2 linked regions of the Canis lupus familiaris genome follow. Each later gene encodes a partner of the first gene's protein in a complex. Links are inferred from orthologs where the notes say so. Each region holds a gene or a part of one and is shown on either strand. Other genes may lie near its edges. The genes, in order: NUP214 and NUP93.

Region 1 (8,157 bases):
AATTTTTGCTAAAAAGAACACAAAGCATATGGCACCAAATGTTACCAAGTGTTGTCTTGGCAGAGGGAGGGCACAGTATTCATTAGAGTACATGCAACCTTTCTGCAAATATGAAAGGAAAAAAAAAAACAGGTACATCTGGTCATGGAGTTGTACCATGCCCTTCGATCCAACTTGGTTATGAGAACCAATTCCACTTGTCATCTTTATTTAATAGACTTGCTCACAGTAGGGCTGGTGTGAAAATCACAGGACAACCATCAGAGGCAGTAAGCCTAAGTCACTGCAGGCTTTTCCTCCTCAAGGGAACTTCATGGATTGTTCTATAACTGCCCTTCATATAGGGCAGGCTCCACATGAAGACAGATGTCACACAGCAAGAGACTTCCTTTGAATCATCAAGCACACTTAGCATCATGAAAAATGTTGGGAGAGCCAAGCATGGCAGCACCACGGCCACGGCAATCTTCCCAACTGAGAGTACAAAGGTTAGAGCTCATCAGTGTGAGGTATAGGAAGCAAGAATGAATGATCTAGTCTGACTATGGCAGCTCGGGCTCCTGACAATGGAAACATGCAAACATAAGAATTTGGGGCTGAGCTCTGGAGCAGTTTGCTTCAAATCATACCTGATGCCGAGGGGGAGACTGAGGACTTTGAAGACACGGAGCCCGGTGGTGCTGAGAGGGGCGTGGGGTGGTTGAGGGGTCCAGAAGCGGCTGGCTTGGAGGTGGAGGGGAACGGCAGCGCGGGTGCACCCTGGGAGCTGATGGCAGGAGCGGAGGGAGCCACTGCAGTGAACCTGAAACGGCGGCCCAACTGTGTGAGAAGCGCTCTCAAGGAGGCTCCTTCACATTGATCATGAGCAATGCCACCAATGGATAACTTACGGCTCCTATAGTTTTCTTTGTGAAACATAATGTTTAGCTATTTCTTATAAAAAGCGAACGCTGCAAGGAAACATTTATCTTATCCTCTGTGTTCTAAGGAGTCAACTATTCCATGAATTATAATGAGCTCTTTATATAAAGGAAAAATGAAGTTTATCAGGTTGTGAAATATTTATTTTCCCTTCTATCAAACCAAGTGGAAAAAAAAAAAAAGGAGGCTAGGACTCTGTTACACTTAGGAATGTCTAGTATTGTCCTGCCGATGAAATTACTGAGAACTCACTTTGGGGCGCTCACCTCCTCTGGGGAGTCAGAAAGGCAGAGGAAAGCAGATCACTACCTTTAGGGTGCTCATAGGCATGGAAAGTTAAGTTTTACCTACAGGGCAAAAGCCTGTAAACAATCTAAATTATCCAGCATGAGCCGACTGGCCACATACAGTACAGTGAGGCTACAAAGTAGAATTTTTTTTTTTTTTAGATATTTTATTTATTTATTTATTCATGAAAGACACACACAGAGAGAGAGGCAGAGACAAAGGCAGAGGGAGAAGCAGGCTCCATTGCAGGGAGCCTGATGTGGGACTCGATCCCGGGACTCCAGGATCACGCCCTGGGCCAAAGGCAGGCGCTAAACCACTAAGCCACCCAGGGGATTCCCCTACAAAGTAGAATCTTAGGCAGCCGTTAGAATGAAGTGGCTGTGTGACAATGGCAGCAGCAAGGGTGACAGCCAGCACTGCCTCCGTGGCAACAAAAGGCAGCAAAGGAGAGCAGGAAAGCTTGGGAGGGTTATGGGGTATCAGCGATCACTTTCTGCAGAAGGCTTGCATTCCAGCAGGGAGAACATAAGATGCAGACAAAGAAGTCCAAAATGGGATGTGAGTGAGCTGGTAGGACCCACACGTGGAAGAAACCGAGGACCATGTTAAGGAGTTATGGACTATCCAGGAAGAGCAGTGAGAAGCCCCTGGGGACTGTTGCACAGGGAAGTCACCTGACACGGGCACAACTTCACAGACCGTCGTAGTGGCTGTCACAGAGCAGTTCACAGAGTAAAGGGACAGAAGGATTCTAAGAGATTCACTCCCCCAACCCAGGATGTATATTCCTTATTGCTTCATTTTTTAAAATAAGGATTATCAGGGTGCCTAGGTGGCTTAGTTGGTTAGGGGTCTGCCTCTTGATTTTGGCTCAGGTCATGATCTCAGGGTTGTGAGATCCAGCCCCGAGAGTCCAGCTCCAAACTGGGTGTGGAGCCTGCTTGGGATTCCCTCTCCCTCTGCCCCTCCCTGTGCTTGCTCTCTCTCAAAAAACAAGCTAAATAAATAAAACAAAATAAAGATAGGGATATCTTCTATATTTAAAATCTGAAAAGCAAAAACCAGCATATAAACATAAACTTATAATGATTAAAAAAAAATTATCTAAGAGACTCCTGGACTCCATCCATTGATTAGATGCAAACCTTTTATGTTTGAATTCTCACCATTTGCAGTTACCATTTTGGAAAACAGGAAAAAGAAAAAATTTATTGTAACTCCACCCACCGTGACTCTACTTCCAGGGAACAACGTGATGTTTCTACTAATGCCACAGAAGCAGCGAACTTTCTTCAAGTGTTACTTACTTCTCACTAAGGTTGACCTTGACTGCAGAGGCTGAGGGTGGGAAAGCAGGCTTCAGTCCTATATTTGGAGCAGAGACACTTGGCATCGGCGTGCTTTCCAAGGTAGGCTTAAACCCCGAGGATCCAAAGGAGAACGAGGTTGCAGATGGTGTCATGGGAGAGGCCACAGGGGTGGGCACTAGGGAGGCTTGAGGAGGGGGAACAAAAGAAAAGGTGGATGCGACAGAGCCACTGGAATATGGAGGGGGCTCCCCTGGGACAGAACCAGATGACTTCAAGGATGAAGAACCAAAGGAGAACACGGCAGGGGCTCCAACAGCAGAAGGCACAGAGAAGGTGGAGGGGGAGGCAGCCAGTGACGAAGGTGGGCCAGAGACTGGAGCTGCAGGGGTTGGCGTGTCGAGCTTCTGTGGGGCTTGAGAGGAGGTTGGCGTAGTGGGAGTACTGCCTGCAGTAAATGAAATGGAGAAAAAGGAAGACAGAAGTTAGCACCGCAACAGTGGAGGTCCATACGGCAGAAAGCAAGTGGAAAGAAACTCGCAGCGGAGGGAAGACAGAAAGAAAGGTCCTAGTTCAAGAGCGGGGGAGAAAAGAGAGCAGGGCTGATGGGGGACCTGCCACAGCAAACTTTCCACATAGTAAGTTGGACAAAACTTTAGAGGAAAAGAGAGACAGGGAAAGGCATTAAGTTAACAGGACTTCATGGACACACAGCTGAATCCCAGAGGAAAAATGCGTGTCTCGGTGTTATAGGGAAAAAGAAACCATTCTGCAACATTTCACAGCAATCAGGAAAAAACTTCCCTTCAGACCTCCACTTCATAACAGTTACTAAAAGCAATTCCAGCTAAATTAAAGATGTCCACGTATACAAAAGCTCACGTATACATACATCTCAAAACAAAGGAGACAAAAAAGTGAGTGAAGTCACTGAATCTAACAACCTGAAATTTAGAAGTGACCAAAAGAAAAAAAAAATCACAAAAGGAAAAGATGAAGATTTGACTGTGTAAAAACAGTTACATAAAAGGTAAATGAAATTTTAAAAATCTGTAGCAAATATGTTTTATATTTTTAAAAAAACTCACATAAACTGAGATAAAGAAATTTCAAAAAAAAAATTCCAAGACTACGATATAAGCTGAGAACCTAATTCATAAAATAATACATTCAATCTGTGTGTAATCAAAAAAATGCAAATTTAAATAAGGCATATTTTTTATTGTCCTTAAAATTTAAATATGTATAACCCCTTATGCTTGGAAGGGTAACATGAACCTGAAAACTTTTATCACTAGTAGGCACCAAATTTAGCATAATCTTTTAGAAAATACTTTAGCATTGTCTCAAAAAATCATAAAAAATAGACTCAGAAATCCCACTTCTAAGAATAAAGCCTACAAAAATAACCTAACATGAAAAACACATTTAATACAACCCAAATGCTAAAAGATGTTCAATGGAATAGTAAGCACTCTTTTATGTGAATCACAAAGATTATATAAGAACACAGAAACACAATTTAAATTAAAAACCTACACACCAATGGTATATACAATAGAATTACAACAACGAAGAAAGATGTTTATGAAAAAAACACGAGAAGAGGAGGGCAGGTTTAAATTTTTTTCTATTTTCCCAACTTTCTATAAATGTGTTAATTTGCCAAATTCAATTAACTCAATAAATATATTAAAAAATAGTATTTTTTTAAATCAATAAACTTATTTTAGTGGGTCTCCACTCTTCCAAACTGTCTGAGCTGTAAATTTACCTTCACTATGTCAAAAGTAATGAAACACTTACAAGTATAAAAATACTTCTAAAAAAGAAGACCTCAGTGAATTGTCACTTTTATGGAAGCATAATAATGCAAGCAAATTTATTGTTAATATTTCTTTCACACAATAAATAGGGAACCAGCAACCACCAACTTCTTTAAAAACACAAACATGGGCAGCCCAGGTGGCTCAGTGGTTTAGTGTTGCCTTCAGCCCGGGACGTGATCCTGGAGACCCGGGATCGAGTCCCACATCGGGCTCCCTCCCTACATTGAGCCAGCTTCTCCCTCTGCCTGTGTCTCTGCCTCTCTCTCTCTCTGTGTCTTTCATGAATAAATAAATAAAATATTAAAAAAAAACAAAAAACAAACCACAAACATATAGATATTTGTCACTTCCACACACATTCAGTAGACCAACATGAAGAGTACATATAGGACCCGAAAGAAATTAGAGGCACTTTAATTGAAAATAGAACTGAACATATGAAAACTGCCGCACTGCTACTTCTGATCATTCACCAAAGCAAATGTGGAGCGGTAGCGTAAAAATGAGCAGAACCATTTGTGTCTTCTGGGTCTACCCCCTGGGCTTTAGCTATAACTGGCAGGCTACTTTCTCCCCCTTCAATGGCTCTCTTCTGCTCATCTAAACATGGCTACCACCTCTGGACCAAGCATGAGGCAAAAAATAAAACTAGCCTCTGCTTGTGCTAGAGGATTTGATGGGCTAGGAGCAAAGTCCTTCACACTGGACTGTGCTCAGAAGTAAACATCACCCTGCTCTCACAAGTGATACTGTCACTGTGAAAATTAGTGTTTACATGTGTGCATTTATGTATATGAAGAATATGGACCAAAATGTTAATAACTATGGCTATTGCTTGATGACTGATGGGCTCTTAAATGATTGTGTACTTTCTAATTTTCCTCCAATAAACATATACTACTCAAGCAATATTTTCAAAGAGGAGGGGAGAAAAACCTAAAGTAAATTAAATATAAACAAAAATAAAATCACCATGTTCCCACTGCCCAGACATAACCACTATTTAGATTTTAATATCCAACTTGCTAGTATTTTCCCTATGTACATATTTTTTTCTCAATGAGAAAGAAATCATAAAGCATACAGTGCTTTTTCATGATACATTCGACTACAGCTTTGTCAACAAATGCAACATTTTTAAGTTCCGTGGCATTCACGGTATGCACATACGAAGACATATGTAACCAATCCTCTGGGACTAAACATGTTGGTAGGATTCAGACCATACGATACAGGGTGCTGTAACAGGATACTGTTGGTAGATTACCTGATGGGATTCATTTGGCTGAGTTTCCTTTTCTCTAAAGTAAAGGTTGGAGAATAAAGCTTGTGGGTGAGAGGATGCAAGAATGTGCGTGTGTTCAAGGAAAAGTCCCTGCTTCGTTCAGACTGGCTCAAGGAAGAGGATCATTATGTGTCCCTACACAGTGTTCATCCCTGGGGATGGTCCAGAACGAGCCCATGGCACTCCCTCTGTGACAGAGCAGAAAGAGGCACGTACCTGACGACTTGGGTTGTCGCTCTCCTTCTAACGAGAGCCGCTCTGGCATCTTGATGAGGGACCTAACCCCGGGATTTTGATTGATCATATAAAATGGACAGAGCACACCGTCTGTTGAAAGTAACATAAGAACTGGAGCAGGAGGAAGAGTTTTCTCATCATCTGTTAAGAAAATAAGCACAAGTGAAAAATGAACCAAGTCCCGAAGGCAAAGACTATTCTAAGCAAGAAGGCTATAGTAGACTTGCCCCAACAGTAGCTCAAGACTGTTTGCTCTGATTCATATCTGAACAGCCTCGAGAGCACTGGCTCTTGAAAGAGAACTACTGCCATTCTCAGTGGCTACCATCATGCCAGACCCTGCAGGGAAGTTCCAGTAGTCCTATGGCAGCTGTGACTGTCCCTGAGCTCCTGAGACTTTGACGAGTGTCTCAGGGTTCATGATGTCCCAAGACAGGTGTCTCTAGGAGGGGGCTGGCCTAGCAGAAAAGTGACAGACTACACACTTTGGAAAATACACAGGACGTAGAAAGGTAAGTCAAACTACTTTATATTCATTCACAGTTCAATCCTAAGATGTATTTTGTCAATTAGGACTTGAAGAGACTCAGAATAAATGAACTAAGGAGACCAAATAATCTTACCAGGGAAAGGACAGGAAGGAACTTAGTGGTGCTCAACAATGACACCTCTCTAAATTGAAGTACCAAAGAGCATAGGGCATGAGTTCCACTATACTGGTGCATCTCACAGACTGCAGCCCTATCTCGCTCCAAGAGAGAAGACCCATTCATAGCACAAATTCAGGCCTGCCCTGGAAGCCAAGTGCTTGAGGTCCCCATTCTCTGATCTGTGTCTTTAAACCAAGCACTGTTACGCAGTACTGAACTAGGGTGCTGTTTCTGTGGGAGGCCGCTGGGAAACTGGAATGCTTGGAGAAACAAGGCAATGAGACCCTTCTGTTCTAGATTTCACCTATACATGAAAGCACACAGAGATAGGCATGCGTGAGTGTACACACGGGTGCGCACACACACAGGCACGCACACACACACACGCACAGAGTCTGGCTTTTGTCTTATCAATGAATGTCAATCAAGTTAATCTAGTGGCGTCACAATGCACTCTGTATCATTCTTCAAGTAGCAATGCACTACCAGGAGTTAAGTGCCCCGCAGAGTAGATTCTGTCATGAACACGCAGAACAGGATTTCAATATCAACCACGACCACTTTTGCACTGAGCTACATCAGGCCACACTTACTGAGGGTGATTTCCACTTGATTAGTATAGTCTATGGCAACTCCCACAGGCAGCGAGTCATCACTCTTGTCTGTCACAGGCAGTTCAGCTCGACTGGAATCCTCTAGGAGCCAAGATTCCCAATTAATCTGGAAAAAAGAAGTAAAGATGAAAAAGCTATGTTGGTTAGAGCTTTGCAATGGTCCTCCCATATTTCAAAAAGGAGAGAAGACAATTCACTTGGTTTAGATTTATGTGTTGACCAGACTCTGAAATTTGGAAAGATGGTCTAAAAGCAACGGGCATCCTAGCAAGTGAGGGGTTAATTTTCCAAATTAACCCATGTGTTACTGGTATACCAAGTACCTGCCTTGTGAATAACCACTATCGTGAACACTTTCCCAAGTACTGTCTACCCCAACTAGGTACATTCCTAAACGTGGTGGATAAATCTAATACCTGCACCAAACAGTTATTAGCTGCTCCTGGAAATGTGGGATTGGCACAAGGAACTCCAGTTGATTGCTACTGTGGTCTTGAGCAATGTGGCTTGTAGGGCTGGCCAGATGCCCTATGCCCACTTGTTAATGGACAGAATTACCCTTAGTTCTTATCCTCCCAGATCTTGGCATCTGTTCCTCCCATGGGGCCCTTCCTGCCTTCAGGGTTCTTGAGAAACCACTGAGTCTTTCCAATAAACTCTTCTGCTTATGTCTGTGCTTGAATGGGCTATATTCCTGCCAATACATGATTTGATTTTTTTTTAAAGATTTTATTTATTCACTCTGAGAGACACAGAGAGAGGTGCAGAGACACAGGCAGAGGGAGAAGCAGGATCCTTGCAAGAAGCACTCATATGGGACTTGATCCTGGGATCACGCCCTGAGCCGAAGGCAGACGTTCAACTGCTGATCCACCCAGGCATCCCTATGATCTGATTTTTAAAAACCACACATTTGTCTAACTTTCAGTGTTGACCAAAACTGGGCAGCACAACTCAAAAGGAAATAATGCTCTATGAATAACAGAGAGAAAACAAAAAGCCCTTCAGGAAAGGGAATGTAAT
Region 2 (7,496 bases), on another chromosome or scaffold:
AGTAACAGGAAAACAAAAACAAAAATGAAAACGGGACAACCTTCACAGTGTCTTCCAGGTGATAAATCACTAAACATGGAATAAAGAAACTTACAAGAATAGCTTCAGGTTGCCCTATTTTGAGATGTGTTGGGTGCTTATAGCAGCTAGGAAGGAAACTGTATCTGGAGTAGAAAGGGAGAGTCTACAAACATCTCTTAGACCAGTAACAACTTTTAAGGAAGATCCAAGGGTCACTTACTAGGCTTCCTAAGAACTATTCAAAAAGAAAACTGAAAGCCAATTTTTTTTTTTTACCTGATATGTGAAATAAACTGGCAAGTATATGTCCTAATGACTGTCCAAACCAAAAGAAATTTTTAATTTATGATGAAAATGCCCATTAGATTTTCTTTAAAACTGTATTAAAGTACATGGGTGGGATGCCTGGGTGGCTCAGCAGTTGAGCATCTGCCTTCAGCTCAGGGTGTGATCCTGGAGTCCCGGGATCGAGTCCCACTTCGGGCTCCCCACAGGGAGCCTGCTTCTCCCTCTGCCTGTGTCTCTGCCTCTCTCTTTCTGTGTGTCTCTTATGAATAAATAAAATCTTAAAAAAAAAAAAAAAGTACATGGGCTTTCATGCCTGATTTGAAGCTACTTTAAATGAACTTTCAGGGTGTTCAGGCAAAGGGACTCACTCCTTAGGCAGGTAGTTTTTACATTTAAGTCTCTCCTTGATCTTACTCATCCCTATCTATCATAAAAAAGGAGTAGTGAGTGAGAGAAAGATAGGAGAATGGCTTTATTCGTGATAAAACCTAAGTGCTTTTTAAAGAAAGAGAACTTAAGACACAGAGAATGTGAGTTCAGCTGGTCTTAGAACAGTTCCCTTCAAATGTGGGAAAAGGGCCTGCCAGGTCACTGCTCTACTCTCTGTACAAGCCCTCCTCTGGCCCGTGAGCAGCACACGGAACATCAGAAACGTCCACCACTTCAACACTCGCCTGCCAAGGCCCAGGCACAGTGAGTCCACCGCTGGCATGTCTCCTGACATTTAGCTTCAGGCTTGTGCCTGTCCAAGGGTGCACGGCAGATCAGTAGCTGCCTTGGGGGCACACAAGGATAGGCCCACCACTGAGTGGACCCCTTGGAGCACCACCAGCTACACTGCTGAAGGTGAACATTTCCACCATCGCTCACTAGTCAGCAGTTCGGTTATGACAGTGCCTGCGGGGTCACAGCTAAGAAAGCCCACAAAGAACAGGATTTCAACATTAAGTGGGAAGTTAAGGGAAAGGGACTTTTAATTGTGTCAAACCCCTTGGCCCTTCTGTCCAATTTACTGGACAACATATGTTGTGTGAGTCCTAGGACTCTATCTACCTGGACTTGGCCTGCCCCACACAATGCTGGAGGGCCCACAGGCAGCAGAAAGGGGCACTGGCTTCATGTCAGATGACTTCGTTTTCAGATATGGCTCCTTCACCTCCACTGAAGGGGCCCACAAAAGGAAACTGCTTCCTGACTCTGGGCCTCCGTTTCCTCAGCTGTCAAATGGGGATAATGATGCCTGCCATAGGTACCTTTCTGGGGTCACTAAGAGCAGAAACAAGGGTTTGCATCAAATTCATGTGTTGACCAAAAGTACTCATGGTTCTGATGAAAGTGCTGAGCAGAGATTCATAAGATAATCTTCCTTTTTTATTTACTTATTTTTAAAAATATTTTTATTTATTTATTTGAGACAGAGAGCACAAGCAGGGAGGAAGACCAGAGGGAGAGGGAGAAGCAGGCCCCACGGAGCAGGGAACCCAATGTGGGGCTCAATCTCAGGACCCTGGGACCATGACCTGAGCCAAAGACAGATGCTTAACGGACTGAGCTCCCCTGGCACCCCATAACCTTCCTATTTTAAAATGCATAGGAAATTCCTACGGAAACATTAAGAATTGGTATTGTCTGATTTTTTTAAAGGCGATTATTTGCATGGGGTGCTTGGTTTGTGCTCAGGTCATGATCTCAGGGTGAGATCAAGGCCTGCGTGAGATCGAACCCTGTGTCGGGCTCCACAGTACGCATGGAGCCTGCTTAAGATTCTCTCTCCTTCTGCCCCTGCCCGCCCACCAGAAGCTCACATGTACTCTCTCTCTTAAAAAAAAAAGTGGTATTTGCAGACTTCACATCTGTTTGTTTTAAAGCTTGAGAAGAACGGCCATGCCATTACTGTTGGACTTCTTCTGAGAGACTCCTGACACAGGGTTTACCCAGCTGCTAAGCAGTAAGAAAACAGAGCATCTGGGGCTTGAGCAGGGTCATGAGGTGGCACGGGACGGCAGACCAGAAAGGTGGTTCTCAGCGATGGTTCTGGCCACCGCTGGGATCTTACAGAGTCACGGTCCTCGATGACTCGCTGGGGCCTGGATGCCGAGGATGGACTTGTCCCCTTGAGCCTCTTAAATTGTGTGAACAAGATGTTCATGGTGGCGAGAAGCACTTCTGAGAGGTTGTGCCTGACCTGCACAGAGGAAACACACAAAGTGAGGAGGATGAACCGGCCTGGGCACACCACAGCTAGGTGGCTACTGGGTCACCAAAAGGAGCCAGTGGCACTGAAACGGCAAGCATGAGAGCAAAGCCCAGGCTTCCTAGCTGAGGCAGGTCACTCTTCTGCTCCTTTCTTTATGCCATCCCTCCTAAGTGGGGCAGTGGCCCACAGCATGCTGCCATCTGGCCACTATGTACGCAGATCGACCAGCAGAGTGCCTGCCGACACAAGTCTGGACTTCAGTGTCAGCACGTCAGTTCTCTAGTCCTCAGGAGCCCCTCTATCTTAGTATTGCCAGACTGTCTCCATCAGATGTGCATAGCCCTAGTAGAGTCCTTGGGGCTGTCTACAAGGGACGCCCTGGGCACCACTTTAGTCCTGAACGCAATGAATACATTCCATGGAACGCGAGAAACAACAAAAGGGCAAGTGGCTGGGGTAGAACTGACAGCAGATAGGAAGGGCAGGTGGGCAAGGGGCAAGACGTTCTACATTTTGAGTACCACAGCAGGTAGCCTCCCCAGCACATGTGCAGAAGGTGGCCTTCATTCTTCCTCTAAAACAGAAACATGTTTGCATAAAAGGTATTTGCTTCTGGAGTTTAACACTTTCAAATGGAAACACTGTTAATGACATTAATGACATCCCAGAAGCAGACAGTGGGACCTGAGTGTCTAGGGTTCCAGAGAAGAGTTTTACCCCAGCTGCATGTGGGAACAAGCAGACAAGTTCTGGGCCAGTCCAGATCAGAGAAACTACAATTTCAGGGGCACGGGGTAGGGGAGGGCCTGGGCATGATGATTTTTTAAAGTTTTCTTAGTAATCCCAGTGTGCAGCTCAAATGAGTACCCACAAGCTAGATGGTGGCGACGTGCTAGAAACCTTTCAGAGACAGTGGCTCTGGGGGTCATGGGCTCATGATAACTGTGTCTATGGTCAGTGCTCTGCTTCTCAAGACAAAATAGTTCAGAGAAGGGAAGGAAGGAAGTGTATCATGGTGCAGGTTTCATACACTCAAGGGAATTACTTAAAATCAGAGTTAAGCACCAAGACCCTCTAGAACAAGTAGACAATACAAAATTAAAACAGATTTCACAGGATCAACCAGAAATCTGTTCCCCCAAGGAAATGTCAAGTAACTAAAGTGACTGTTCTGCGTCAGGAATCTGGACAATAATCTGATGGGGATATGTTTACTCACAGAAAAACCAACCCAAGATACCTGAAATTGGACTCGCCTTAGAAAACTCAGTCTGAGTGGTGTGAGGGCTCTTAATGTTATCAGCTACATTAAAACAAAAGCTTTCAGCAGAAGTGGGGAAAAAATCCATAAGGCGAGAAGAAAAGGACTCACTTCATCACTGAAATTTCTGAAGGCAGCCACTCTCTCTTCCACACTTTCCTGATTCAGGGGCACGAGCTTCAAACGATCAATTATCTGTTTAAAACAAAACCCCACCAGCCCCATATGATACAACCATCACAGGCATTTCATCTCCTTAAACAGACGGTTGGCATCTAACATGTTAAAAATGGCTTAAGAGAAAATGCTGCTCCCTCATATACACAAAGGCTCTGATTCTAATTTGCTAACTTAATTCTTGACCTCATTTTCTGAGACAATTATAAAATTCAGATATTTTAAGTTACTCTGAGAAACCTCCACTTTCAAACTAATGGGAAAGGAATAGGGGAGAAAAAGAAGAAAAAAAGAGAAACACAGAAATCCCTTTTCAATTCCCAGGATCATGCTTGTCTTCTTCGCTTAGCAGGTGAAGAATGTGGTAACACTTCCTTTGTTTTAAATGAATCCCATGATGGGCTTTGAATTTCCAAGGGCATATATTAACTTGCACTTCAAACATTCCTCTTGAAACTTACATCAAAGGCTCTGTCGATATGACCACTGTGATACTCGTCAAAAAAGGTGATCAAGTCCAACAGAAGATAGAATGTGGAGTCCACAAACTTATTTGCACTGATTCCCTGAGCCCTATACCTGAAAGACAAAAAAGCAGCAAGGGGGGACAGAAATTATGAATTTCTGTACAAATGTCTAACTTTAAAACATTTGAAAAAAGCCAAAAAGCTCGTGAAATCTCTAGATGAGGTGAATTAAGGTGTGGAAAGTAGTGTTTCTTTTTAAATGGCCACGAAGTTGATGGTGGATTTGGTATGACTCCATCTGTAAATATTTTGCATGAACCACGGTCCTCTAGCCCCAGCTACCATCTCAAGCATCCAAATCTACAGGAAGGGTGAAAGGTTCTGATGGGCCAAAAGCCCAGCAGCCACCACTGGAGACTGTTTGCTAAATGGATTATTTGATAAGGAGTGTTCTGTGCTACTCTAGGAATGCATCTCCAACCCAATTTTCTCTGGTTCACTTTTTTAGGAGTATCTGTAGAGGGCACAAAAAGTAATGACTATTGCCTCAGCCTGGGAGTTCCATCAGTTAAAGTCTGATAACTCAGTTATCTCACCGAGGAAGAAAGCCAGATTCTTAAACATTGGCCACTACCACCTTTAAGAATTCCATCCAGCCATCACTAGCTTTGTTCTGAAATGTCTTTGAGACGGTTGCTAACAGTATATTGATGAGTACAATGCCTAGAATTAAACCCAATGTGCAGGATTAGAATGTGAGATATGCTTTCATACCCTTCTTTCTAGCAAAACTCTCAAAGTCTGATAGTATCAAGTATTGGTTATGATGTGGGAAAACAGGAAGTCTCAACAGTGCTACAGGGATGGGGAGTTTCTGGGAAACTACTTGATGTGACTGGTAAAGCTAAAGATGGATTTGGTGGGCACTGGCACCCTGGCAGCCTGGTACGGGGCCCCCACAGAGCCTGGGAGCCAGCTCTCAGCCTTACCGTTCAGCAATGGAGAGCGCCATGTTCTTCAGCCTCTCCTTGTTGGACTGCGGTGCGCTGATCTGGGGGACGACAGGGCTGAGCAGTCTGTTCATCAGCTCCAGTACCTTGTCAGCATTCTGCTCAATTTTTTTTAAAATTAAGGAAGGACTTGATTAAATAATCAGCAAAAGGCAAAAGGGAAAACCACCAAAAGAGGGAACTTTCTGAGATGATGGATAAAAATGGTCCTGTATCTTTGATCTGGATGATGGTTACAGATATATACCTACAGAAAATTCACCAAGCTGTACGCTTAATGTTTGTACATTTACCTACATCTTAATGAGAACTCAATCAAAACATCTTTAAATTCAAGAAAATGAATTATAAATCTTCTTTTGGCCTACTTTTCTCAGTTTATTAAAAAGAAAAAAAAAGAACATAATCTTTTTTTGGGCCACACAATGATCAGTAGTCACCATATGTTATGTCGACATACTTATTCTAGTTCTCTCCAAACGCCTTAGCTGTCACTCCCTTCCCTAACACACAGTGCTCACTAGCATGTCTGCGGCTACCAGAAGGGTGAGCACGAAGGCATTTTCACCCAAAGCTTCACCATCAAAATGTGACGGACGCTTATTCTGCTGCCAAGTCAGACTAGAGCTCAGTGCCTGCAGGATATCCTTGCAATACATTCCTCTTGTTTGGCCAGAAATACCTTGTGGGCAGGAATAATTCTGTAAAATGGGAATTTCACCCTGACAGGACCATTAGCTGCCTAAGCACTAGGAGAAAAGGCCTCAGCAGGAGAGTGGTGTAGCAGTGGTGTCATCAAAATGTTTGTGTACTGAATGCCAAAAGGCCGACATCTATTAAGGAGAAAGAAAAGGGTATACTTTACCTTGGCAAGGTCATAGAGCTTTGCTGCTTCTTCAAACAGTCCTTTATTTTCTGCCACGGAAGCAACTTTGTTGATAATAGGCTTTGTGTCACTAGTAAACTTATCTATGACTCCAGGCTGACAAGACAAATTATGAAGGGGGAGGAGAAGAGAGGTGCACAGAGATGTTACTTTAAACACAGAGAAGCAGTTGGGATCTGAAAATTACTTTCACTGAAAATGTTTGCCCTGGGCAATGCATATATGTCATCAGCTAGACACTGGCTTTCTTGAAGATGTAAGGTCCTATTAAACATATGAAAGGGACCAAGGAAACGACACATGAAGGAGAGTCAGGGGTGGCACAGAGGAGCCAGCAAATAAGACATCTGTGCTTGCTAATTGTCCAAGATGATCCAGAGGGTAGGAGAAATAGTCAATGATCATACATTTGCTGATGAGTAGGCACTAGGTGGAAAAATCAGGAGGCTCAGAGGAAATATCTGAAAGATTTTGGATTTGCTTTCTAAGACAGATGGCAAAAGAAACTCAGTGCTGAAAAAATACGTGGCAAGGGGTGTCAGGATATAATTTTTTTTTTAAATCACCATCCACATTCATCAGCAACCAAATGGTCAGGAGTATGTGAGAAGCCACAGGAAGCATGGAAGAGCTAGGGCGGCCAGAGTGACCTCTGTCTGGCTGTTCTGATTCTCCCTCAGCACTGGACCTAGTAGGGGTGACTTGTTCCTGCCACCCCAGGGGCACACAGGAGAAGAGTGAAGGGCATGGGCTCCGGGTCAAGAAGGCCTGGGTCAAATTCCAGTTTCCCTTCTTACTAGCTGTGTGATCCCGAAGAAAATAACCTTTCTTGCCTCCATTTCCTCACTTGAAAAACACCTTGTTGGATTATCATTGTGGTGATTGAATTAGAAAACACCTGTACAGCATTCAGCACAGTGCCTGGCAAATGTCACTGCTCAAGAAGCACGGCCACTGTCATCAGTACGGTCACTGGCCTTTCTTCTGAGCTGGAGAGTGTGAGCCCTGTGAGCTCATCTTGAGATTCTGGGTCTAAGCCACCCATATTTTTACCAGTGAGGAAAATGAGTGCCTGAGAGAGGCAGTTGACTTCCCTAAGGCCACATGGAGAATGCCCGAGGGATGTCAGGACTCGTTTCTGACACCTGGACCTCTGCCCATCTGTAGGCATGTGATGTGGCTCAGGGAA

What was found.
Region 2: NUP214 (region 1) and NUP93 share a complex: the UniProt entries of both Homo sapiens proteins name them as parts of the nuclear pore complex. The link is inferred for Canis lupus familiaris from reciprocal best matches to the Homo sapiens genes NUP214 and NUP93.

The regions. Positions count from the first base shown.
Region 1 is NC_049230.1:53,016,229-53,024,385, forward strand, and holds part of NUP214 (nuclear pore complex protein Nup214), read right to left. Parts: intron 7,241-8,157; coding exon 7,114-7,240; intron 6,012-7,113; coding exon 5,850-6,011; intron 2,968-5,849; coding exon 2,520-2,967; intron 803-2,519; coding exon 630-802; intron 1-629. UniProt on the Homo sapiens protein: Part of the nuclear pore complex. Has a critical role in nucleocytoplasmic transport.
Region 2 is NC_049223.1:58,738,160-58,745,655, forward strand, and holds part of NUP93 (nuclear pore complex protein Nup93), read right to left. Parts: intron 6,404-7,496; coding exon 6,287-6,403; intron 5,520-6,286; coding exon 5,401-5,519; intron 4,524-5,400; coding exon 4,406-4,523; intron 3,963-4,405; coding exon 3,879-3,962; intron 2,495-3,878; coding exon 2,366-2,494; intron 1-2,365. UniProt on the Homo sapiens protein: Plays a role in the nuclear pore complex (NPC) assembly and/or maintenance. May anchor nucleoporins, but not NUP153 and TPR, to the NPC. During renal development, regulates podocyte migration and proliferation through SMAD4 signaling.